4 linked regions of the Neurospora crassa OR74A genome follow. The protein of the gene in region 2 binds, or shares a complex with, the protein of the main gene of each other region. Links are inferred from orthologs where the notes say so. Each region holds a gene or a part of one and is shown on either strand. Other genes may lie near its edges.

Region 1 (5,271 bases), on a different chromosome or scaffold from region 2:
TCCACCCGTTCTAACCTCGTCATCCCCCCTCAACTTTGCAAAATACGCCTTGATATCCTCCGCACTAACCGCCCTCCCACTCTCGGCAAACTCTCTGAAAAACGGCTTCAATTTGTCCTTCAAATGGTTATAAGCCATGACGCCCTCAATGGCTCGCACCCGATCGATATTCCGCAAGGCCGACTCGCCTCTTTCGAGAACCGATCCCGACCCCTTGCTGCTGCTTCCGCCGCCGCCGCCGCCGTGTAGAGAGTGGGAGGGAGAGGAGGAGGAGGTTTCGGAAACGGGGGGTTCGTAGGTGTCTTCTTCTTCGAGGAGGTGGGGGTGCGGGATGAGGAGGGGGAAGCAGTGGGGGCAGTGGCACAGGAGGGAACGGAAGGAGGGGGTGGTGAAGAAGAGGGAGAAGGGGGAGTTTTGGGAGGTTTGGGAAGGTGGTGGGGGGAGGGAGGAGAGGAGGCAGGGTTTGGGGTTGGGATTGGGGTGGGGGGTTGTGGTGGAGGAGTCTGTGGTGGTGAGGGTTGTTGTGTTGGTGGTGGAGGTGATGGTGGAAGAGCCGTTGGTTGTGAGGGACTCGGTTGTAGTGATGGCGGTAGTCGTTGAATGGACGGTTTCATCGGTTTTGGGCTTCTTTTCTTGGGATTCCTCGATGTGTTCGTTGTCCTCGTCAGATGCTTTGCGCTTCTTAGATGAGGAATTGCCGTTGACTTTGAGTTCCGAGGTGGTACTAATGGTTTGCTCCTCCTTCTTCAGATAGACAGGCGGTAGGAATCCTTCAGTACCCGCGTATCTCTTGATCCAGGGGTACGCCTCGACGCACTTATAGCAGATGAATCCCTCAAAGTCGTCATCGGCAGGGAAGCCAGGCGGTGGAGGTGGGTCGTCGTCTTCGTCTTCGTCTTCCTCTGCCTCTTCGGCATGGGCGCCGTTCTGTTCTGTTGTCTCATCTTCCGCAATTGTAGGTAGGGCACCATTTTCGGTCTTAACCTCCGTCTTCAGCGCCGCAGACTTGGGCTTATCCTTCTTGTCCATCTTCTCAAACCAATCCGGACCCAAACCCACGATGCACCCAGGATGGTACCAATCCTCCCCACAACCACCCGTTTCTGCCGTGCCTAGGCCCAGACATTGAAACATGGTCCCCTTCTGCTCAAACGGGTCATAATCGCACTCGCAGCCGCAGAACCGATTCCGGAAGTTATGGTTGTACTTGTTGTTGACATCTGGTTCCTCCGAGTGCACGCCGCCCTTGGTGCCCGTCTCCTCATTGATGCGCAGGTTGCACGGGCTCGTGGGCGGGAAGCGTGTGGTACCGCAGTCGCAGGTGAAGTTGCGCTTGGCAAAGATCTCGACGAGAGTGTGCTCGCCGTGACACTGGACGGAGCAGGAGTAGCAGATGCCGGCCGCATTGTAGGGCGCTTTCGGGTCGGCGGGTGGTGGGTTGCAGGTCAGGCAGGAGAAGACGGCCTGGCGGAGGGGGCCGAGGGGCTTGGTGCAGGTTTCGATGCTCTGGTGGGAGGTTAGGATTGACTTTAAGGAAAAGGGCAGAGAAGACAAGGGACACGCACGTATGGAAGAGCTTCGCGAGCGTCGGCCTCTAGTTGCATTTGGTCGCGGATGAAGCTAGACCATGGTTAGTACTTTGTCATGTGGTAAGTCCAATATATGACAACATACTCTGCGGCAGTCTGAGAGTTTTCTGACTTGGCGGAGAAGCTTTCAGTACGAGTCTTGGTGAGCGCGACTGGTGCTGGAGCTCCATGGCCATCTGGAGTGGCCTCGGCGGGCTGTTGCGCCGGTTGAGGGTCCATGGGTGATGGATGCTTTCACGGTCAATCTTGGATGGTCGGTGGTCTATCAAAATTGTTGATAAGACAAATGCCTCGAGATGGTGCTGGATCACGAAAGATGGGTTCTGTCCGGAAGTCTTTAAAACAAAAAACAATTGCTGGGGCGCGAAGAGGAGGAGGAGGAGGGGGAGGAGGAGGAGGAGGGCGCGTTGGTGGAAGCGTGGGGAGAAGGACCGAGCTTGCAATGTACCCTTGGTTTGGTGTAAGGCACTGTGGTCTATATGTCCAAGCAGCACAGATTGGAATTGGGTTCAAGGAAACCTATTTGAACGTGATCCGATCAATAACATGGCCCTGTAGTATGTAGCACCTTATAGCTCATGCTTTGCTCGTCATTGTTCACTGGACTTTGAGCTTTTGTGACTTTTTGGGAATCTCGACGAGTCGAATTGGCGTGTAAGAGCAGCACCAAGTGGGTCCGGTACGCATTGCCAAGCCCATTAAACCTCAGCAACCACTTAACGCGACCGCCCTTATCCGGCTTAGCGCATCACGTCTGGCGCGTCTTCCCTGGACTGCAACGCGAGAAAAAAGCAGGGACAAGGTCGCCGCAACGAAGGGCAACATTCATTCAGTGGTTCCTCGACGCTGTTTGTCTCCATTCCCCTCCCCCCCCCCCCCCCCTTCTCTCTCTCTGTCTCACCCCGCAACATATCCTCTTTCTGGCTGGCATTCATTCTCCATAGTAACAACTAGGCCAGCATCCTCCACTCTCTTGTTTCTTCCATCTGTAGCTGGCTACAGTCCTCTGAGATACCCTCAGCCAAGTCGCAATCATGAGGTATGTGTGCCTCTTGCTCTTTCGTCTGTCACGGCTTCTCTTCGCAAGTAAACAGTGAATTAACGGAAACTCTCCAATACCAGTTCCCCGCTTCGCGACAACCCGTCCTCTGCCAACCGTGGCGCCGTTCCCAGGGCCACTCGCAAGCGTGCGCGTAACGATCACGATGGTGCTTCCTCGCTTCCCCGCGCTTCGAGCCCTGTCATGCCCTCTTCTCCTCCCGCCTTCCCAGTTGCCCATGGCGCAGATGAGGACGACGACATCGAGGAAGACGTCGCCGCTGAAATCGAAGACGACATTGACGACCTCGACGAGTTGGCCGAAGACGATGTAGATTTGTTCCGCGAAGGCTTCGAGCGCGATTATAGGGAACGAGACGAAAACGACGCCTACGAAGGAATTGACATCGACGATGACGAGTATGAGGCCCTCGACCCCGCCGCAAGGCGCCGTCTTGAAGCCAAGTTGGCCCAGAGAGACCGTCAAGTGAGGATGGGAATGGGCACCACGTATCTTCCTGGTGATGACGACGATGGTGATATCGACCTTACCAACCTGGAACGCCGCCGAAGAATCCGCTACAATGAAGACCCCGATGTCGATATGGATGGCGACATTATGGACTCGGAACTTCCCCTCGAGGCCCTGATGGATGTCAAGGCTGCCACTTTGAGCGAATGGATCTCAGTCCCGGCTGTACAAAAGACCATCCGCAGAGAGTTCAAGGCTTTCCTCACAGAATACACCGACGAGAGCGGTTCGTCCGTCTACGGCAACCGCATCCGTACTCTTGGTGAGATCAACGCCGAGTCTCTCGAGGTCTCCTACGAGCACCTCGCTACAGCCAAGGCCATTCTCGCATACTTCCTCGCCAATGCGCCAACCGAGATGCTCAAGCTCTTCGACGAGGTTGCCATGGAAGTCGTCCTTCTCCATTACCCCGACTACGAGCGCATTCACGCCGAGATCCACGTCCGTATCTTCGACCTTCCTATCCATTATACCCTCCGTCAGCTCCGCCAGTCGCACCTCAACTGTCTTGTGCGCGTGAGCGGTGTCGTCACCCGCCGCACCGGTGTCTTCCCCCAGCTCAAGTATGTCAAGTTCGACTGCACCAAGTGCGGCGTCACTCTCGGTCCCTTCCAGCAAGAGTCCAACGTCGAAGTCAAGATCTCTTACTGCCAGTCCTGCCAGTCTCGTGGCCCCTTCACCCTTAACTCCGAGAAGACCGTCTACCGCAACTACCAAAAGCTCACCCTCCAAGAATCCCCCGGCACCGTTCCCGCCGGTCGTCTGCCCCGTCACCGCGAGGTCATTCTCCTCTGGGACCTGATCGACAAGGCCAAGCCGGGCGAGGAGATCGAAGTAACGGGCATCTACCGCAACAACTACGACGCGCAGCTCAACAACCGCAACGGCTTCCCCGTCTTCGCCACCATCCTCGAAGCCAACAACATTGTCAAATCCCACGACCAGCTCGCCGGCTTCCGCATGACCGAGGAAGACGAGCACGAGATTCGCCGTCTCTCGCGCGACCCGCACATTGTCGACAAGATCATCAACTCCGTCGCCCCTTCCATCTACGGACACACCGACATCAAGACCGCCGTCGCCCTCTCCCTCTTCGGCGGCGTCGCCAAGCAAGTCGGCGCCCACCACATCCGCGGTGACATCAACGTGCTGCTCCTCGGCGACCCCGGTACCGCCAAATCACAAGTACTCAAGTACGCCGAAAAGACGGCCCACCGCGCCGTCTTCGCCACCGGCCAGGGTGCTTCCGCCGTCGGTCTGACGGCTTCCGTCCGGCGCGACCCGCTCACGTCCGAATGGACTCTCGAGGGCGGCGCCCTCGTCCTCGCCGACAAGGGCACCTGCCTGATCGACGAGTTCGACAAGATGAACGACCAGGACCGCACGTCCATCCACGAAGCCATGGAGCAGCAGACCATCTCTATCTCCAAAGCCGGTATCGTCACGACCCTGCAAGCCCGGTGCGGAATCATCGCCGCTGCTAACCCTATTGGCGGGCGGTACAACTCTACCATTCCCTTTTCTGCCAACGTGGAGCTTACCGAGCCGATTCTGTCTCGTTTCGACATCCTTTGCGTCGTGCGCGACACAGTCGAGCCTGAAGAAGATGAGCGGCTGGCGCGCTTCATTGTCGGGTCGCATTCGAGGAGTCATCCGTTGATGAACAACAACACGCAGGACGCTAGCGGTGGTGACTCCATGGAGGTTGAACACGATACCCAAGCTGCTGCGGAAACCCAACAAACTGGTGAACACGGCCGTAAAAAAGAGGGCGAAATCCCACAAGAGCTGTTGAGGAAGTATATCCTTTATGCCCGAGAGCGGTGCCAGCCAAAGTTGTATCACATGGATGAGGATAAGGTGGCGAGGCTGTTTGCGGATATGAGAAGGGAGAGTTTGGCGACGGGGGCTTATCCTATTACTGTAAGTTCTTCCCTCTTTCCTTTTTCCTTTTTTTTTTTTTTTTTTTTTTTTTTTTTTTTTTTTTTTTTTTTTTTTTTCTTTCTTCCTCCGTCACAAAATACAACACAATAACAACTGCTAACCTCACCCACCACCACCTTAGGTCCGTCACTTGGAAGCCATCATCCGCATCTCCGAAGCCTTCTGCCG
Region 2 (5,898 bases):
ATAGTAGCTTATTCGAAGGCGCTACGGTCATGCTATTTTGCATGCCATCACAAGCTGTCCACCTCTTCCTCTTCATGAGCAGACCATAAACCGCCGCCCTAGCCAGGAACCATGACACCAACAATGACTATGACCCAACCAGACATCGGCTTCCGTACCATAACCGGGTATCCCCTTTGCCATTCCCTTGACATAATGAGAATACGCATACCGGATTGTTTTTCCACATAATGCTCGCTTGCTTGGTCCTCAAGTGACCATAACATAATGCCACTTTAGCCGTTTCCTCAACACCCCACGCACGACGACAAAGCCAACCGACCTCAGCAGTAGAACAGCTTGAGCACTTAGCCTTCATGCCAAGCTTCCTTCAGTAATGAAACAAAAACCGGTTAGTATGAACAAAGAAACAGAATAACGCCCCATCAACGACAAGCCACCGGAACTCCCGCGCCCAATTATGCTGGTAACGAACTTGTGCGTTGGGACAATTGAAGAAAAAAGGGAAAAGAAAAGGAAACCTCTCCAATAATGAACGACACATGACACCGCCACATGATTCCCGACTGACTAAAGAGAAACAGGTCAAAAGGGGAGATGAAGAAAACAACAAGGGAAAGCAAGTACAGCTAGTCGTCAGGAGCCATGGGTAGGTTTCATGTGCGGCAACATGGCAGTAGTTTACTGCCACCTCTCATCACCCACGGACCGATAACGCGGCTCGCGGGGAGCGCGCGAGAGCTTGCCAAGGAGAGCGTCGAGCTGGGCCCAGTTGTCGTCGTTCTCGGCGAAGCGGCGATGCTTGCGGGAAACAATATGCTACCGTCATGTTAGTAAGCGTCATAGTATGCCTGATATTGAGGAAACTCACCGCATCAAAGTCCTCGAACTTATCTTGACAGTTTTCGCAGTAACCCGGCTTGGGATCGCGCGGCTTCGGCTTTGTCTGGGGGACGGGTGTGCTCGCGGTCCTGCGCAATTTTCTCTCCTTCTTGGCCTGCTCCTGCTTCCGAGCTTCATCGTCCTCCCAGATACCAGGCATCGGGGGTTTGGCCGGATTACCCAAGCTGGCGGCACGAGTGCACTGGGCGGCATCCACACCAATCTCGGCCAAGCGACGAACACCAGAGTCTTGCGAAAGAGAAGGACCACCAGCTTTCTGAAGAACCTTGCGCTGAAGACCCAAAACTTCCTTGCTGATACCGGCCTTGGCGCCAAGGACACCGGTGGTGGACGACACCATCTGAGAGCGAATGGCGGATGTGAGCTTGTTGGCCTGGATGCCAGAAGCGACGGGCTCTCCGGCTACCAAACGGCCAACTTTGGTGGTATGGCTCATAAAGGCATTCTGCGAACGGAAATCGACCGAAGGGGTGGGCTCCTTGGCTGACTCGACGGTTTCGGGGGCATCATCAACAACTTCGGTTGCACGGTCGTTGGGTGCTTCCATCTCCTTAAGAGTACGCTTTCCCGTAACCGGCTTGGGTGATGGTACCTCGGGGGGCTGGAGGGTCTTGGTAGCCTTCTCGGTAGCGGCGGCGGCATCTGCAGCTTTGACAACTTTCTCCTTGGTCTGAGTCTTTTCCCGCCTCGTCCTTTCAGGGGGATCATAATCCTCAACAAATGGGCAACGGCCCTGGGATGCCACACGGAACTGAGGCCATTCGCCGTCCTTCTTGTCGGCAACTCTGTGGTACTCCCTCACCATGATCGGCCTCGTCTTCTCCTCAATGTCGTACACATAAATGTAGGGGCCCTTGAAGTAGTGGATGTCCTTGGTAACAACGGTGGGATCGCGATCGGAGGGGCCGTGAACACGCTCATTCTGGAGCATTTGGAGTACATTCGCAGTCTGCTGGCGAGCCTTGGCCCTATCCGCGGCTGCTGGTGTGTGGCCTCGGCCCAACAATGCCGCCTTGTACAAGTCCGTTTCAAGGACCATGCCGAGAATCCTCTGGAGTTTGTCAAGCGACCAGATCTTCTTGCCCATGTCCCGCGCACGGTGCAGGATGTCGGTGCTGCGTGCTTTCGGCTTCGGCATCGTCTCTTCCTGGGGCTGCACAGAGGATTTCCGGAGTGAGGGCTTGTCGAAAATGAGTTTGCGTCGGACCGAGTCGCCATTGCGGTTCAGGAGAGAGGGATCGATTGTCTTTGGCTGTTCACTTGTCGATTGCGTGTTGGTAACGGGCTGGTTCTCGTCCTGGACTGGCTTTACAGGGGGGATAGGACGGGTGGTGACGACATGGGTGATTTCGATGGAAAAGAACTTTTCCTCGCGCTGTGACCGAAGTGTAAGTATAAGCCGAGCGGTTGGGCCTGCATTGGGCAAGGGGTCGTTGACTTACAGCGCCCAATTGAGCGACTTGTTTGGCGAGCTTGTGACGTTGCTCGTCGGGAATGCTCTCAAAGTAGAAGACCATCTTGTGAAAGCGAGATCTCATAGAGGTTTGCCATATACTAAGGTCTTCAAGTTCCTTTGCGGTGATGCGGTCGGTCGTCGTGGTGGTGGAGGTGGTGGTGGTGGTGGTGGAGGCGGCATACAACCTCTCGGCACGGGTGGTGGTGCTGGTAGCCACGGTGGTGCCTGATCTAGAAGAAGCCCTTTCAGGCCGTTCCCGATCAATGGGCCGGGATATGGTCGAGGCCTTGCGCGTGATATTGGACACATTGGACCGGGAGCTCGTCGGCGAGGCGGCGGCGCGTTGACCGCCATGTTCAATCATCTGTCTCTTGGCCGGCGGTGGTTGACCGTATGGCTCCTCTCTAAGCTGATCGGCATGGGAGCGGACGGCGGCCTTTTTAGAGCCCTGTAGTGCCAAGGCGGTAGCCGAGGACCCACGCAGCGGCGAGTTGGCGGCATTGGGGTTGTCGGAGAGAGGAGCCCTCTTGGTGCCCGCGGCAGTGGTGGTGGTTGACGACATTGCTGTGGGATGTCGATCTAGCGATACTGTTGTCTTGTAAAATATCCAGTCAACATGCTATGGGTGTGGTGTTGTTTCTGTTTGTTCCGAAACGCCGGCTCGGGGATGGTAAGGGAGGGAGACAGTTTCCGGGCTGTCTGTCTGGTCGCGTGCTGGTACTAGCTTGGAGTTTGGGTAGGGGGACCCCGGATAACTATGGTACACCAAGAATCAAGTCGTGTGCTGAGTGCCGACTCGACAGACAAGACAAAGTGGTTTAGGCTCGGTGATCGATGGTGTCGATGGTCGAACAATGGCCCAATGCGGTCGGACAATTATTCGTCGTCGATCGTTGGTCGTTGGCTGGGAAGGAGCAAGGAAGCACTCGACCCTGGCCTGGGCGCAAAACAACTAAAGTGAGGCGGTTGGTGGTGGAGGTTGGGGCACAGTTGTCTGTTCTTCCAAAAACGCGTCTCTCGATTTTTGTCGCTGGAGGTTTTGGCTCCGTCGTCGCAGTGGCACGCGCTGAGCTCCGGTGACGGGAAGGAAGAAGGGACCGTTGTTGAACAAAACTAAGGAAACGGCTAAGGCCAATTGGATGATCTGCGCAAACCTTCCAATGTCGAATCGCGCCCGAAGTCAGTCGACGCCCGGTGCGAACAGGCCAAGATCCAATGTTCTGGTGTTGGTGGGTGGTCAAAAAACCTTTGTGTAATCAAAGTGTTTGGTTTTGATAATGACAGTCGCGACAGCAGGGTCCAGCAGGCCAAACCTCTAGGCAATGTGGGGGGGGGGGGGGGGGGAGTGCAGGCGCCCGGCCCGGGATGCTTGCACTGGCTGCCCTACACTGAAAAGCGCTGACAATGAAAATGCACCCACGCCTGGCAGCTGTGGTTTGTTGTTGCTGTCAGGTCGTGCTGGGGAATGCCAACAGCGGCTCCACATCCGCGGCTTGCAGCTGGCAGGCAGCATTTGATGCCCGGGCAGCGAGACCTGGACTCTTGGCAGTCCAGTGAAGCGCCTGGCAACTGTCAGCATTCATTTGAGCAAAAGTGAGAATGATAAAGTGACGAGATCCCATGTCTTTACCTTTACGAAACATACCTACCTATGAACCGACCTCTTGTCCGTCGCGAAGCAATTCAACTTCATTTCTCGCCGTACCTTGTTGCTTGGGGAATCTGGAGGTTGGTAAAGGTTGAGATTCCGACAACCCCATGATCAGTTTGTAGCTAGACTTTAGGTGCCGGTAGTCCTAGTAAAATACGTATCATCAACATTGCGAGCCATCCCAAACCAAGTTCACCTACGCCACCAACCCGGCGAGCCGAGGTGAACTCACACCTCGTTCTCACCTAACCACCACATTCCTTCCCCTCATCACCCTTTGACAACCACCCTTTATTTGACATGAAGCTTCCCCAAGCCGTCCTGCGGCAATGTTCTCGACACTTGCGCGCTCAGAATAACTGGCCTCTCCAACCACGTCTCCAATCTGCCAAGTCCATCCTCCCCGCATCTCACCCAAGCTCACCACCATCAACACCATGGCGCCCATCCCGGACATACGCAACGACGACGACGACGACGACAACAGTCTCAGCCGCCGACCTCGAATTCGGCCAGCCCGTCTACGAAACGCACCCCCACATCCTGCAACCGGGTGAACTAACCCCCGGCATCACGGCCCAAGAATATCACGAGCGACGTTCCAAGCTCGCCTTCGCACTTCCCGAAAACGGCATCGCCATTCTCGCCTCCTCGGAACTCAAATACCGCTCCGGCGCCGTCTTCTTCCCCTTCCGACAGGACTCCAACTTTCTGTATCTCACCGGATTCTCCGAGCCCGACTCGCTGGCCATCATCCAAAAGACGGGTCCCAAACCAGGCGACTACGTCTTCCACCTCTTCTGCCGGCCCAAAGACCCGCGCGCCGAGCAATGGTCCGGCCCCTGGTCCGGGCTGCAAGCAGCCGAGGATGTCTTCAACGCCGATTTTACGGGGGACATCGCCAAGGTTGAGACCTTGCTGCCACCCATCCTGCGCGGCGCCGGCAAGGTCTACACAGACATCACGCCCTCCACCCCCGTCACCGGCCAACTCGTCACCACCCTCCTCTCGCACCTGCACCTCCCCCCGGCTCCCCTAGCCGGGCTCGTCCACTCTCTGCGGGCCATCAAATCCCCCGCCGAGATCTCCAACATGCGCCACGCCGGCCGCGTCTCCGGGCGCGCCCTCACCTCCGCCATGCGCCGCTCTTGGTCGTCCGAAAAGGACTTGGAAGCCTACCTCAACTACGCCTTCACCTCGCACGGCCTCTCGGGCCCCGCCTACGTGCCCGTCATCGCCGGCGGCAGTCGGGGCAACATGATCCACTACGTGCACAACAACCGCCTGCTCAACCAAGACGACATGGTCCTCGTCGACGCCGGCGGCGAGTACGGCACCTACATCACCGACATCACGCGCACCTGGCCCGTCAACGGCAAGTTCTCGGCCCCGCAGCGGGACCTGTACGAAGCCGTCCTGACCGTCCAGCGCAAAATGGTTTCTCTCTGTCGGGAGAACGCCACCTTGTCGCTGGACCAGATCCACCGCGCCACTGAAGCCGGTCTGCGCGAGCAACTTACTTTACTCGGCTTCGATCTTTCATCAGGGGGAGGAGGCAGGATGGATGTGCTGTTCCCTCACCATGTGGGCCATTATGTGGGGTTGGATGTGCATGATACACCCGGTTACTCGAGGAGTTTGACGCTGAGGCAGGGGCATGCGGTGACGATTGAGCCGGGCGTCTATGTGCCGCAAGACGATGACCGGTTTCCCGAGCATTTCCGGGGACTGGCGGTTCGGATTGAGGATAGTGTGGTGGTGGACGTGGAGAGCCCCTTGATCTTGACGACGGAGGCGGTTAAGGAGGTGGTGGACATTGAGGCTTTGAGGGAGTGAGTGAGTGAGTTTGCGGTTGTTGGTGGGGGGATGATGGGTTGTCGTTTGTGTG
Region 3 (4,946 bases), on a different chromosome or scaffold from region 2:
TTTTGAGGGGGAGTTGGTTAGTTTGGGGTTCATCTTCGTGTGGATTGACAGACGGGGAAAAACTCACAAGGACGTCGTTGGCCTGCTGGGCACTCTCGGGCTTGTCTTCGAGATACATGGAGAGCAAATGGCGGGCCAGACGCTGATCATTCTTCTCATCAACACGATCGAGGATGAGGTAGACCAGATCGAAACGGGATAGAAGGGTTGGCGGGAGGTCAATATTTTGCGGCACTGATAGATCAGGGTTGTATCTACTACCAATGGGGTTGGCAGACGCCAGGATTGATGTTCGGGCATTGAGAGTGGTGATGATGCCGGCCTTGGCGACGGACACGGTCTGTTGTTCCATGACTTCGTGAAGAACGGAGCGGGTCGATTCGTTCATCTTGTCGAACTCGTCGATACAACAGACACCGCCGTCGGATAAGACGAGAGCACCGGACTCTAGAACGAGTTGGCGGGACTCGGGATCGCGGGTAACATAGGCGGTAAGACCTACGGCAGAAGAACCTTTACCACTCGTGTACACACCTCTTGGGGCGATTCTGTGAACATAGGAGAGAAGCTGGGACTTGGAAGTGGATGGGTCACCACAGAGGAGAACGTTGATGTCTCCACGGTATTTGGGGCTTCCACCCTTCTCAAAGGTCTTGTTCGTGCCTCCGAACAGTTGAAGAAGAATACCCTTCTTCACATCATCCATCTCGTAAATTGATGGAGCCAAAGAACGTGAAAGGAGATCGTAGATATCCGGTCGAGCGGCAGTTTCCTTGATCCTCTCTTCCTCATCAGGAGAGACCTTTCGGACTTCGTCCATGCTCTGGCCATTAGCATGGGCTTCCTCCTCCTCGGCAAGGTCGAGGGTCGAGGGATCAGAACCCATCCTCTTGCGGTCGACCTTTTGTACATGGACAACATCAACATATGTCTTGTGCACGCTCTTGACCGTCCTCATGCGCGGGTTGACACGAACGGGGGTGACTTTAAAGATACCAGTGAGCTCAACTCTGTCACCGGCCTTGCAAAAGTCCACAAGCTCGTTATAGACGCAAACGGATACCGAGTGGGGTGTCTGACCAGCAGGCACGTTATCCGGAGTTTCTTGCAGCTTGATGACTTGCTTGTCTTCGAAAGCACATCTGTTGTGGATGATCTGCATTGAGTTCTTGGAGGCGCAGCGAGCCCGAGGACACTCTGTAGGCTCACGAATCTTGCCACGATCTAACTGAACGGTTATAGAATGACCACAAACACTGCACTTGAAAAATGCATCCTTCATGTCGGGGATGACCGGCGTGGTTCTGATGACAAGACCCTTGATGGACACAAGCTTGTCCATGTCAGATGGGTTGAGGTCACGGAGGTTGGTGATCTTGTCAAGACCCCACGGGCGAACCACATACGCCATCTGGCTGACTTGGTCCTCAATTGTGGGCGCCGCTGTTTGGGCAGGCCGCGGGGTGGGCGGTTCCTCGCTCCTTTCAGAGCTTGGGAAGTTCGGCTCCGAGCTTTGTGAGGCACCTGGAGCGGTCCTAGAGTTTTGGGATGCTCTTTGGCTGGCCATTTCCTTTTGCGCCAACTCCATCATACAGTCATGTACGCATTGATCCATGACCGGGATGATTTCGGTAGGATAGTGTTGGGCCTGATGCCATAACTTCAAGGTGCGCGGGTAGGACTTGAGGTCGCGGAGATCCAGATACAGCTTGTTGGTACCAAGCAGCAGCATATTCTCCAGTGCCTCCCAATATGGCTTCGAATCCGCATCCGGATGGCCAATAGTCTCGGCCTCGTCCGCGCCATCTGCCCACATCCGGTATTTCCTGGTGAAGTTCCTGAGAAAGTCCTTGAACGCGGAGAACGAATCGTCAAGAGAAATTGTTGTACCCCAAACAAGACCTTGGCTTTGTCCACCAAGGGCATCTGCCTCAGAGGTATTGGGGTTATTGGTGACAAACGAGTTGGCATCGGAGCCAGGGGCATCGCGGATCACACGACCGGCGTCGTCGAGGATGATTCGGCGGGGAATCTGGGCGGGAGTACGAAGAGGGTCCCCGTTGATGTCGCCTCGACGGGATCGACCGGCAACGGACCTTTGCGAGCTGACGAAGAGCTGACTGCTTTCGCTACGAAGATCGGACTGTTGAGTAAGCTGACGGCCCGGGCTAGAACTGGAGGCATAGCGGATGGGAGAGGAGTCTGCGGAGTGTGGTCAGCATTCAGTGTAGTCCTTTTTTTTTTTTTTTTGGTTGACAGCCATACCCCCAATTAACTGGCTCCGTCCGTTTGCGCGAGGAGTTCGGTCAGCATCGCTCTGGGTCTCTGTCTGCTGGCGCAAAGGCGAGCTCGGCGCATTGCCTTGGTGGGCAGTGCTCTGGGTATTGCTCATCTGCCTCAAGGGAGAAGATACCGGGGCGGCGCCATTGGCAGGCGAGGAGGGCTCGTAGAATAAGGGACTAGAGGCAAGCTGTGATGCGCGTGTCTGGCGAGGAGTTGCGCTCGAAGGACCAGCCTGCGAGCTGCGAGTAGTGCGGGGAGTAGCTGATTGGGAGCTTCTCGTTGTTCTGCGCTTTGCTGGGGAAGACATGTTTACTACTCTGTCCTCGGTGGTTTTGTTGAGATAATACAAAGTATGGAAACTAAACCAACAAGAAGGGACAGAAGACGGGCAGGTTGGGATGGAGACGCTGGAGTGTTGTTGTGGCGGCTCCCGATCCCTCTGTAATTGCGAGGTGGTTGGCAGGTCGGCAGCGTGTTCAGGACGGGCAAGGTGGATCACGTTCCTATCGAAAAAAAAGACAGTCGCGACACACGCGTCTCTGATAAAAGCACTTTACACGGCCGTTCGTGTCTGCGGGGGCTTACTCGCGTTGACCCATTAAAACCCCTGTCATACCCAAATGAGACGGACGAGGCCACTGCAGTGCTGCTCTTGAGTGCGAACTGTCAGGTACGTAAGGTACGTACCGCGCCGTGGGGCCTCGCTTGGAGTGTTCGCTCTGGATTCAAGCCACATCACAGGGACCGCTTCACCCCACAATACCCACGCTCACCACGGTAACCAACGATACCGCCTGCCCCTGGTCATTGTGAGCACTACCTACCTACGCAGCACCTCTGGAGTTCAAGCTAACCACTATATACCTACCCACTTGCGCCCATTGAAGTCGAGTTGCCCCTCGTCGCCGACCTTCTCCAACCGATACCAGTCTCGAGACAGCAATTGATCAAGAAACAAGAACCCCCAGATAACCAGTCAAGATGTCGCCAGGAATGTCGCTGTATAGCGTCAACGCTATAGGTACACTAGGCACCACGCTGCTCCTGGGTCCTGGCTTATACGCGCCACGTCGAGCAATGTTGACAATTGCGTTCCAACAGTAATCCTCTCCAGCGATGACGGTTCGCGGATATTCTCAAAATACTACACTCCTCCTCACGCTGCCGCTGGCGCACCAGGAACAGGAGTGGCCGCCGGACTCGGTACGCAATAGACGCTCCTTTTACCCCTTATTCGGTGTCGCATGTTCCCGTAAGGCTGACCAGCCCGAACCTTGTGCACAACAGCTTCCTCGAGCGCTTCCCAGAACCCCTATCCCGACAAGACTTCTCAAACCCGTTTCGAGAAGGGCCTCCTTCAGAAGACAGCTAAGCAGACGGGCGATATCCTCCTCTACGACAACAAGGTGGTGCTTTACAAGATGGAGTCGGACGTTGCTATCTACGTCGTTGGTAGCGCGGACGAGAACGAAGTTCTGCTCTACAACGTACTTTTGGCGCTTAGGGACAGCTTGCATATGCTCTTCAAGTGAGTATTTATGGCGAACGTGAAGGTGCCGGTCATGGGACATGATTTGGCTAACCACGGACTTTCTACTCAGGCAATCGATCGACAAGCGCACGATAGTCGAAAACTACGATCTGGTATCCCTCGCTATCGACGAAATCGTGGATGACGGCGTTGTTCTCGAGACCGATCCCACCATCATCATTCAACGATGCAGCAAGGCGCCGCCTGCCGATGTCAACCTCAGCCGCCTCGACCCCTTCACCGAGCAGGGTGTCAACAACTTGGCACAACTAGGCAAGGCTAAGCTTACTGACTGGCTTCGTCAGGGTCTCTAAGGGCATGTGCGGGTGGGTAATGACAAGGGAAGGAGTGTGGCGGATGGGAGCAACCAAGGTAAAGTTGGCGCATTGGTTCGTAAAAAGGTATCAGGCCCTTTTGTTTGGCGAGCCTTTTTATGGCAGAGTAATGAGCCAAAGGCGAAGCAAAAAGACACGAAAAGCCAACAAGTGATGGGTTAGCAGAAAACAGGAGTTATAGTCTTTTCCCTTGCGATCTATAGGGTTTGACCCCGTCTATATTCTAATGTCGGAAGCGGCTTTCCTCAGCCTGTTCATGACCGCCGCCGCGATATCGTCTCCATCACTCACACCCTCTACGAATATTACATCCGCGCCGCGCCTGTCCAGCTCTCGGAGGGCAGCGAAAAGGCCATGTGCCACCCCCTTGACATCGTTGCCCAGATCAATCTCCAGAAGCCTTGCCAACACCGTGGTGCCGTCCTCATCCAGCCATTGCCCTTCCCTGACAGCGAACCCAGTCTCGGCCACGTCCCCGCTGTCCTTCGCAGCAACATCATCAAGCCCCTGACTCCTCAACCCCCCGGCAACAGGCCATCTCCCCGTCCTAATAACCGCAACACTCTTCACGTTTCCCTTGCCCTCCTCCTCCCCAGCCGCTTCAACCGCCTCCCTCACATCCGCCTTCGGTACCTCCCTCCTCCCTCCCTCCGCCTCATACAACACCACCCTCGCCTTCGGGCTATAATGCTTATACTTCATCCCCGGCGCTCTCGGCGCCGTCTTTCCTCCGACCTCTGCCTGATCCTTATACGCCTTCTCCACGCCTTCCCACCCCTTACACTCCCTAATCTCCT
Region 4 (5,252 bases), on a different chromosome or scaffold from region 2:
TGGAGTGATGACAGTCAAGGATGAGCAAGACGTCACTCTCACTCGACATGATGGGCTCGCGAATGTCCTCCCAGAAGAAATGACTCGAGCCAATCGCATTCGCAAACATCATCCTTCCTCCAACCATGTCCGCTCCCCCAGCATAGTAAATGACTAGCAACTTCTTCCTCCCCTGGCCCGTATCGGAGTCCGCGAGAAACTTGGCCAGCAGGGTCTCCACAGCCGCAGTAGGATAGTCCTCGGGAATCGGTCGGCATTGGACTCGATATCCGAGCCGTTTGAAGCAGTTTCGAACGGAGTCCGTGGAGGTATTGATCCCTTGCCGACTTGAACTGAGTTTGATTGGCCCTTGTTCCTTGGCGGTTATTGTTGTGGTTGTCGTAGCCCAGCTGAGGATCAAGACGTTGACTTCTTCGGTTAGCTGTGCATGTCGACTGCGCTGAGAGGGCGAGAAGATGGAGCTGAACCTGGTTTTTGGTTCTGGTGGTTCGGTCTCGGGTTCAGGTCGAGCAGTACTGAAAGCTAGTGATGCTGGATAAGCCGAGTAAGTCTCGTATAGCTGCTGAGAGTGTGAGAGGAGTGTTGCATGATCTCTGGACCAGTCTTGTGAGTATCTTCTTTCTGTCCGTGCTTTAGCATCTGTATCAAGCCCCTTAGCAGCCGCAGACGTATAGAGGTTGACGGGGCTCTTCAGCTGTGGTTGCAATGATAAACGGGCTCGCTGTGCTTTCGGAGGCGCGACGGTCCTCGACCAGCTCGAATTTTGCGGTGACGACGCCACAGTCTCAATCTCTATATCCCCATCACCATCGGCATCACGGCGAAGATGATGGTCTCTGAACCACGGAGAATCGGGACTGAGGGCTTCGGTGGCGGTGATAGGGCTTTGACTGTTACGGATGTCCGTTAGCCGTTTTGTCTTGGGATCAGATGTCAGGTTGGCCGAACTTACACCTCAAGCTCCTGCAAAGCACCAATCACCATCTCCATGTCTCCGTCCCACTCGAGTCCAACGGGGAGCGACGTCGCTTGGATGTCATGATGATCAGCGCCCCTGGGCGTAGCTTCACTGTCTCCTCTTCCATCCATGCTCCTTGCCGGCTTCGAAGGCGAAGCGTGTACACGAGCGTTGTCAACAGCTCCAGCCGAGAAGTCATGGCGGAGGTTGGCCAAATGGCGATGCCATAGCTGAGTGAAGTCCGTATTGCTGTTCATCTTGGACTTTTGACTGACTGAATGCGGGCCCAGATACGATCTTCTCTGACACAAAGCTTTGTTTGGCCGAGTCAGCTGATAGTGTCTTTGTTTCGCTTGTCAAGCCATTCTGATGTCAAGAGACTACTGATCTAACATTGCTGTTGTTTGTGGAGTGGTAGAAGAAGCTGAGACGTCAGGAAGGGGGGTGATGGCAAAGATAGATCAGGTTCGCCGCCACGCTGCCCACCTACATGGCGTTTCAGCCCAGAGATCTGATCGGGGGGAGGGGCAGGCGGATACCAGATTGCAGAAGGTCGTCACGTCAAGCAAGGACATGTGTTCTTGGCCGCGGGTTGATGTGGGTGGTCAAGGGCTGGCATGCTCTCGGCTAAAGCCTATCAGCCCAGATGAAATTGTGGTAACACTGCAGCTTGTATGTCTCGGAGATGTTGGAGTTTGGGACCGAACATGACCGGGACCACTTCTGACTGGTTCGACCTCACTATACTCACCTTCTTGTGTTGTACCTTGTCTGACATACATACATAACTCGGATGTTATAGAGAACCACCACGGACTTGACCTGGCAGCTGGCCGGTTTTAATGGCAAGATACCATGGCAAGCTGGTTGATGGATGTCACCGAAGGCTGAGGAAATTGGACGAGGGCGATTGACAGTTCAGTTTGGCTGATGTGGGAGGGAACACTGCATTCGAGGAACCGAGGGAGCGACGACAATTGTGTGGCACTTGATAAAGAGTGCCGACAGCGGGAAGAGGGCATCAGCTCGAGAAAATTGTGCTTCGTCAATACACACAGAATTGTTCAATGGATGGAAGAAGCATCACCCATTTTGCAACGGCTTGTGAGGAAGGAGCATCTTGCTGGAGGATTTCTCAAATCAAAATGAATGAAAATAGTTGGGAGAGAATTGCAAAAGGTCTCATTCGGCACACGAAAGGCCTGGAATCACTAAAAGACATAGTAGGCAACTTCTACCAGGAGGCTGAATCCTTGGTAGGGCAAGTCGGGTCGTCGTACGAACAAGGCAGAGTCGAATGGCGATGCTTCGTTACAGCAAGTGTATTGCTTTCGGCGATACACCCCAGAGGTTGAATTTCTGTGGCCAAGTGCAGGTGGTATGCAGTTATCCAATCTATATCCCACTAGCGAAGCCATTAAAGAGGGCCCCACTTGTGCGCGCCAGCTTCCTGGTCTTGGCGCGCTTCAGCTTTTCTGGCGCGTGTTTTATCGTGTTTTCTTGACAGGGAGGACTCAGTTCCCCTCCCCTCGTCACAGTTTCCCCTCCTTCCACTCACTAACCAGTCAGTCCTTGGTCCCTTGGGTTCTCATATCTCTACTTGAATCTTGACCTCGACAACTTCCAATCTCCACCAACTCTCCTTGATACCCAGGTGGACCACAGCAACACCATAACACAATGGCAACACCAATGGCACACTCCAGCGATGCTGGCTTCATGATGTCGGACGGAATCGCTTCGCGAGGAGGAGCTACTCCCAGGGCGCGAAACGGTCATCCCAGTTCCTCTTCAGCTCGTCCACGAGGCCCCCCCTCAGAAAGCCTCGGAGCGGCCAGCGAAGACGAGGGCGAGGAAGGGTTCGCTGATGATCAGGTCCCCGTCCGCTCGAGGCCTCGGAACATTGCCGACATCCCCAGGGTTCAGGATAGGATTGGTGTCATGGTCCAGAGAGCCTTTGAGGCCTTCATTGACGGGTATGAAGATCCAAGAAACCAGCCAAACATGTACTACTTGGTGTACTTGCTGACACCGGCGCCAGCTACGTCGAAACACCCACCTCGTCCGGCCAACCAACCTCGAGCGCAGTCACGACAGACAAGTACTACGTCGCCCAGATCCACGGCATGAGGACCTACTCGTTATCCACCTTCTACGTCGACTACAAGCACGTCGCCTCATGGCAAGACGGCACCCTCGCCGAGGCCATCACCAACTCGTACTACCGCTTCCTTCCCTTCCTCACAGCCGCCCTCCATAGCCGAATCGCCGCCCACGAACCCCAATACTTTAACGAACATCGCCAGCCCACGGCATCCAGCGCCCACTCCACGACAGCCGCCAGCACACGAGGCGCCAACGCGAGCCAGTCCGACTTTGGCATCAAGAACCCCAACCAACAAACCGACAAGCTCTTTGCCATTGCCTTCTACAACCTGCCCCTCGTCTCGCGCGTGCGCTCCATGCGCGCCCGCAACGTCGGCCAGCTTCTTGCCATTAGCGGCACCGTCACACGCACCTCCGAGGTCCGGCCCGAGCTGGCTCTGGCCACCTTTGTCTGCCAGGCCTGCTACGCCGTCGTTCCCAATGTCGAGCAGACGTTCCGATACACCGAACCGACGCAGTGTCCCAACTTGACGTGCCAGAACCGCACTTCGTGGCAGCTGGACATCAGGCAGAGCACCTTTGTGGACTGGCAAAAGGTGCGCGTGCAGGAAAACAGTAGCGAGATTCCCACAGGAAGCATGCCCAGGACAATGGATGTGATTTTGCGCGGCGAACTGGTGGATCGCGCCAAGGCCGGCGAAAAGTGTATCTTTACGGGTGCGCTGATCGTGGTGCCGGATGTCAGTCAATTGGGTCTGCCGGGTGTGCGGAACGTGTCGGTGCGTGATGATCGGGGTGCGGATGCCGGTGGCAGTGGTGTTTCTGGTCTCAAGGCCCTGGGTGTGCGCGATCTTACCTACCGTTTGGCGTTCCTGGCTTGCATGGTCACGCCTGATGTGTCGGCAATCGGTGCTTCTGGCGATGCCCTTCTGATGGACATTGTTGGTACCCTCAACAGCAGCGCGGCGGCCGAAACAGCCGAGACCATCAAGGAAGCCCAGGAAGCTCTGCTGAGCTCCTACACCTCTGCCGAGATGGAAGACCTCCGTGCCATGGTGCACAGCGACCACATCTACGCACGCCTTGTCCAGTCCTTGGCACCCACAGTCTACGGTCACGAAGTCGTCAAGAAGGGTATCCTCTTGCAGCTTTTGTCTGGTGTCTCCAAAACCACCGCCGAAGGCATGGCACTCCGTGGCGACATCAACATCTGCATCGTCGGCGACCCCTCGACGTCCAAATCCCAATTTCTCAAGTACGTCGTCAACTTTGCTCCCCGGGCAGTCTACACCTCCGGCAAGGCCTCTTCCGCCGCTGGTCTTACGGCTGCCGTGGTCAAGGATGAAGAAACCGGTGAATTCACCATTGAAGCCGGTGCCCTCATGCTCGCTGACAACGGCATCTGCTGCATCGACGAGTTCGACAAGATGGACATTGCCGATCAGGTTGCCATCCACGAAGCCATGGAACAGCAGACCATTTCCATTGCCAAGGCCGGTATTCAGGCCACGCTTAATGCCAGAACCTCGATTCTAGCAGCTGCCAACCCGGTCGGAGGTCGCTACAACCGCAAGACCACCCTGCGCGCCAACATCAACATGTCGGCGCCCATCATGTCGCGTTTCGATCTGTTCTTCGTCATCCTCGACGAGTGCAACGAGCAGGTCGACCGCCACTTGGCCGAACACATTGTCGGCCTGCACCAAAACCGGGACCAAGCCATCGAGCCCGAGTTTTCCACCGAGCAACTGCAGCGGTACATTCGTTTCGCTCGCACTTTCCGCCCCGAGTTCACCGACGAAGCCAAGGAAGTCCTCGTGCAGCGCTACAAGGACCTGCGCGCCGACGACGCCCAGGGCGGCATCGGCAAGAACAGCTACCGAATCACCGTCAGACAGCTGGAGAGTATGATCCGTCTGTCTGAAGCCATTGCCAAGGCCAACTGCGTCGAGGAAATCACGCCCGATTTTGTTAATGAGGCGTTCCACCTTTTGCGGCAGTCGATCATTTCCGTCGAACACGACGACGTCGAAGTAGACGACGAGGAAGACGCTCCCGAACCACCCGCCGACTCCCCCGAGGCCTTGCAAGCCGCCGCCGCCGCTGCTTCGCGCGTGCCCGAGGCCGATATGGACGGAGATGGCGACGTCGACATGGGTGGTGAAGCTGCCCGACAGCCGTCTGCGGC

Evidence for each region.
Region 1: the proteins of NCU05972 (region 2) and NCU04327 are in contact, whole or in part, in a cryo-EM structure (PDB 7PT6), measured with the Saccharomyces cerevisiae proteins. The link is inferred for Neurospora crassa OR74A from reciprocal best matches to the Saccharomyces cerevisiae genes DBF4 and MCM2. Residues at the interface, in NP_010337.3 of Saccharomyces cerevisiae: Tyr127, Ile130, Thr131, Asp132, Asp133, Glu135, Met136, Asn137, Thr138, Lys141, Gln164, Phe165, Phe166, Asp167, Thr168, Thr188, Ile190, Arg193; in NP_009530.1 of Saccharomyces cerevisiae: Glu179, Glu180, Leu181, Thr182, Ser185, Arg205, Arg209, Glu210, Ser213, Leu216, Glu217, Tyr218, Thr219, Gly223, Ser225, Gly228, Ile231, Glu251, Ser252, Ala278, His282.
Region 3: the proteins of NCU05972 (region 2) and NCU02539 are in contact, whole or in part, in a cryo-EM structure (PDB 7PT6), measured with the Saccharomyces cerevisiae proteins. The link is inferred for Neurospora crassa OR74A from reciprocal best matches to the Saccharomyces cerevisiae genes DBF4 and MCM4. Residues at the interface, in NP_010337.3 of Saccharomyces cerevisiae: Asp248, Arg249, Asp250, Thr253, Lys254, Arg255, Asp256, Pro514, Thr515, Arg516, Ala517, Ser518, Val519, Met520, Ser521, Lys522, Asn523, Met524, Leu527, Arg529, Leu530, Met531, Val532, Asp533, Arg534, Leu536, Gly537, Val538, Tyr660, Cys664; in NP_015344.1 of Saccharomyces cerevisiae: Leu177, Arg178, Ile179, Ile180, Trp181, Asn184, Ser186, Ile187, Gln188, Thr192, Arg195, Asn196, Met199, Ser200, Lys202, Lys204, Phe205, Glu222, Leu224, Glu267, Ser270, Ile271, Gln274, Lys277, Asp278, Val281, Ser282, Val285, Asp286, Glu297.
Region 4: the proteins of NCU05972 (region 2) and NCU05194 are in contact, whole or in part, in a cryo-EM structure (PDB 7PT6), measured with the Saccharomyces cerevisiae proteins. The link is inferred for Neurospora crassa OR74A from reciprocal best matches to the Saccharomyces cerevisiae genes DBF4 and MCM6. Residues at the interface, in NP_010337.3 of Saccharomyces cerevisiae: Ala231, Pro232, Leu234, Ser235, Leu237, Leu238, Glu241, Pro246, Thr247, Asp248, Arg249, Asp250; in NP_011314.2 of Saccharomyces cerevisiae: Val103, Asp104, Asp105, Val106, Thr107, Lys110, Val111, Ala114, Glu162, Asn163, Ala165, Leu166, Met168, Ala169, Gln173, Arg176.

Annotation. Positions count from the first base shown.
Region 1 is NC_026505.1:5,630,912-5,636,182, reverse strand, and holds the start of NCU04327 (DNA replication licensing factor mcm2), read left to right. Parts: upstream 1-2,471; 5' UTR 2,472-2,623; coding exon 2,624-2,628; intron 2,629-2,711; coding exon 2,712-5,082; intron 5,083-5,224; coding exon 5,225-5,271. Other genes in the region: NCU04328 (metaphase-anaphase transition protein), read right to left, coding at 1-1,506, 1,566-1,620, 1,675-1,808. UniProt on the Saccharomyces cerevisiae protein: Acts as a component of the MCM2-7 complex (MCM complex) which is the putative replicative helicase essential for 'once per cell cycle' DNA replication initiation and elongation in eukaryotic cells.
Region 2 is NC_026506.1:3,250,105-3,256,002, forward strand, and holds the start of NCU05972 (sporulation-specific protein 6), read right to left. Parts: upstream 3,622-5,898; 5' UTR 2,922-3,621; coding exon 2,346-2,921; intron 2,279-2,345; coding exon 872-2,278; intron 820-871; coding exon 682-819; 3' UTR 1-681. Other genes in the region: NCU05971 (xaa-Pro dipeptidase), read left to right, coding at 4,311-5,846. UniProt on the Saccharomyces cerevisiae protein: Regulatory subunit of the CDC7-DBF4 kinase, also called DBF4-dependent kinase (DDK), which is involved in cell cycle regulation of premitotic and premeiotic chromosome replication and in chromosome segregation.
Region 3 is NC_026501.1:2,663,366-2,668,311, reverse strand, and holds the start of NCU02539 (cell division control protein 54), read right to left. Parts: upstream 2,801-4,946; 5' UTR 2,591-2,800; coding exon 2,266-2,590; intron 2,203-2,265; coding exon 68-2,202; intron 1-67. Other genes in the region: NCU02538 (coatomer zeta subunit), read left to right, coding at 3,265-3,304, 3,385-3,486, 3,571-3,811, 3,885-4,128; NCU11234 (translation initiation protein Sua5), read right to left, coding at 4,366-4,946. UniProt on the Saccharomyces cerevisiae protein: Acts as a component of the MCM2-7 complex (MCM complex) which is the putative replicative helicase essential for 'once per cell cycle' DNA replication initiation and elongation in eukaryotic cells.
Region 4 is NC_026504.1:5,796,997-5,802,248, reverse strand, and holds the start of NCU05194 (DNA replication licensing factor mcm6), read left to right. Parts: upstream 1-2,452; 5' UTR 2,453-2,638; coding exon 2,639-2,934; intron 2,935-2,999; coding exon 3,000-5,252. Other genes in the region: NCU05193 (hypothetical protein), read right to left, coding at 1-890, 953-1,215. UniProt on the Saccharomyces cerevisiae protein: Acts as a component of the MCM2-7 complex (MCM complex) which is the putative replicative helicase essential for 'once per cell cycle' DNA replication initiation and elongation in eukaryotic cells.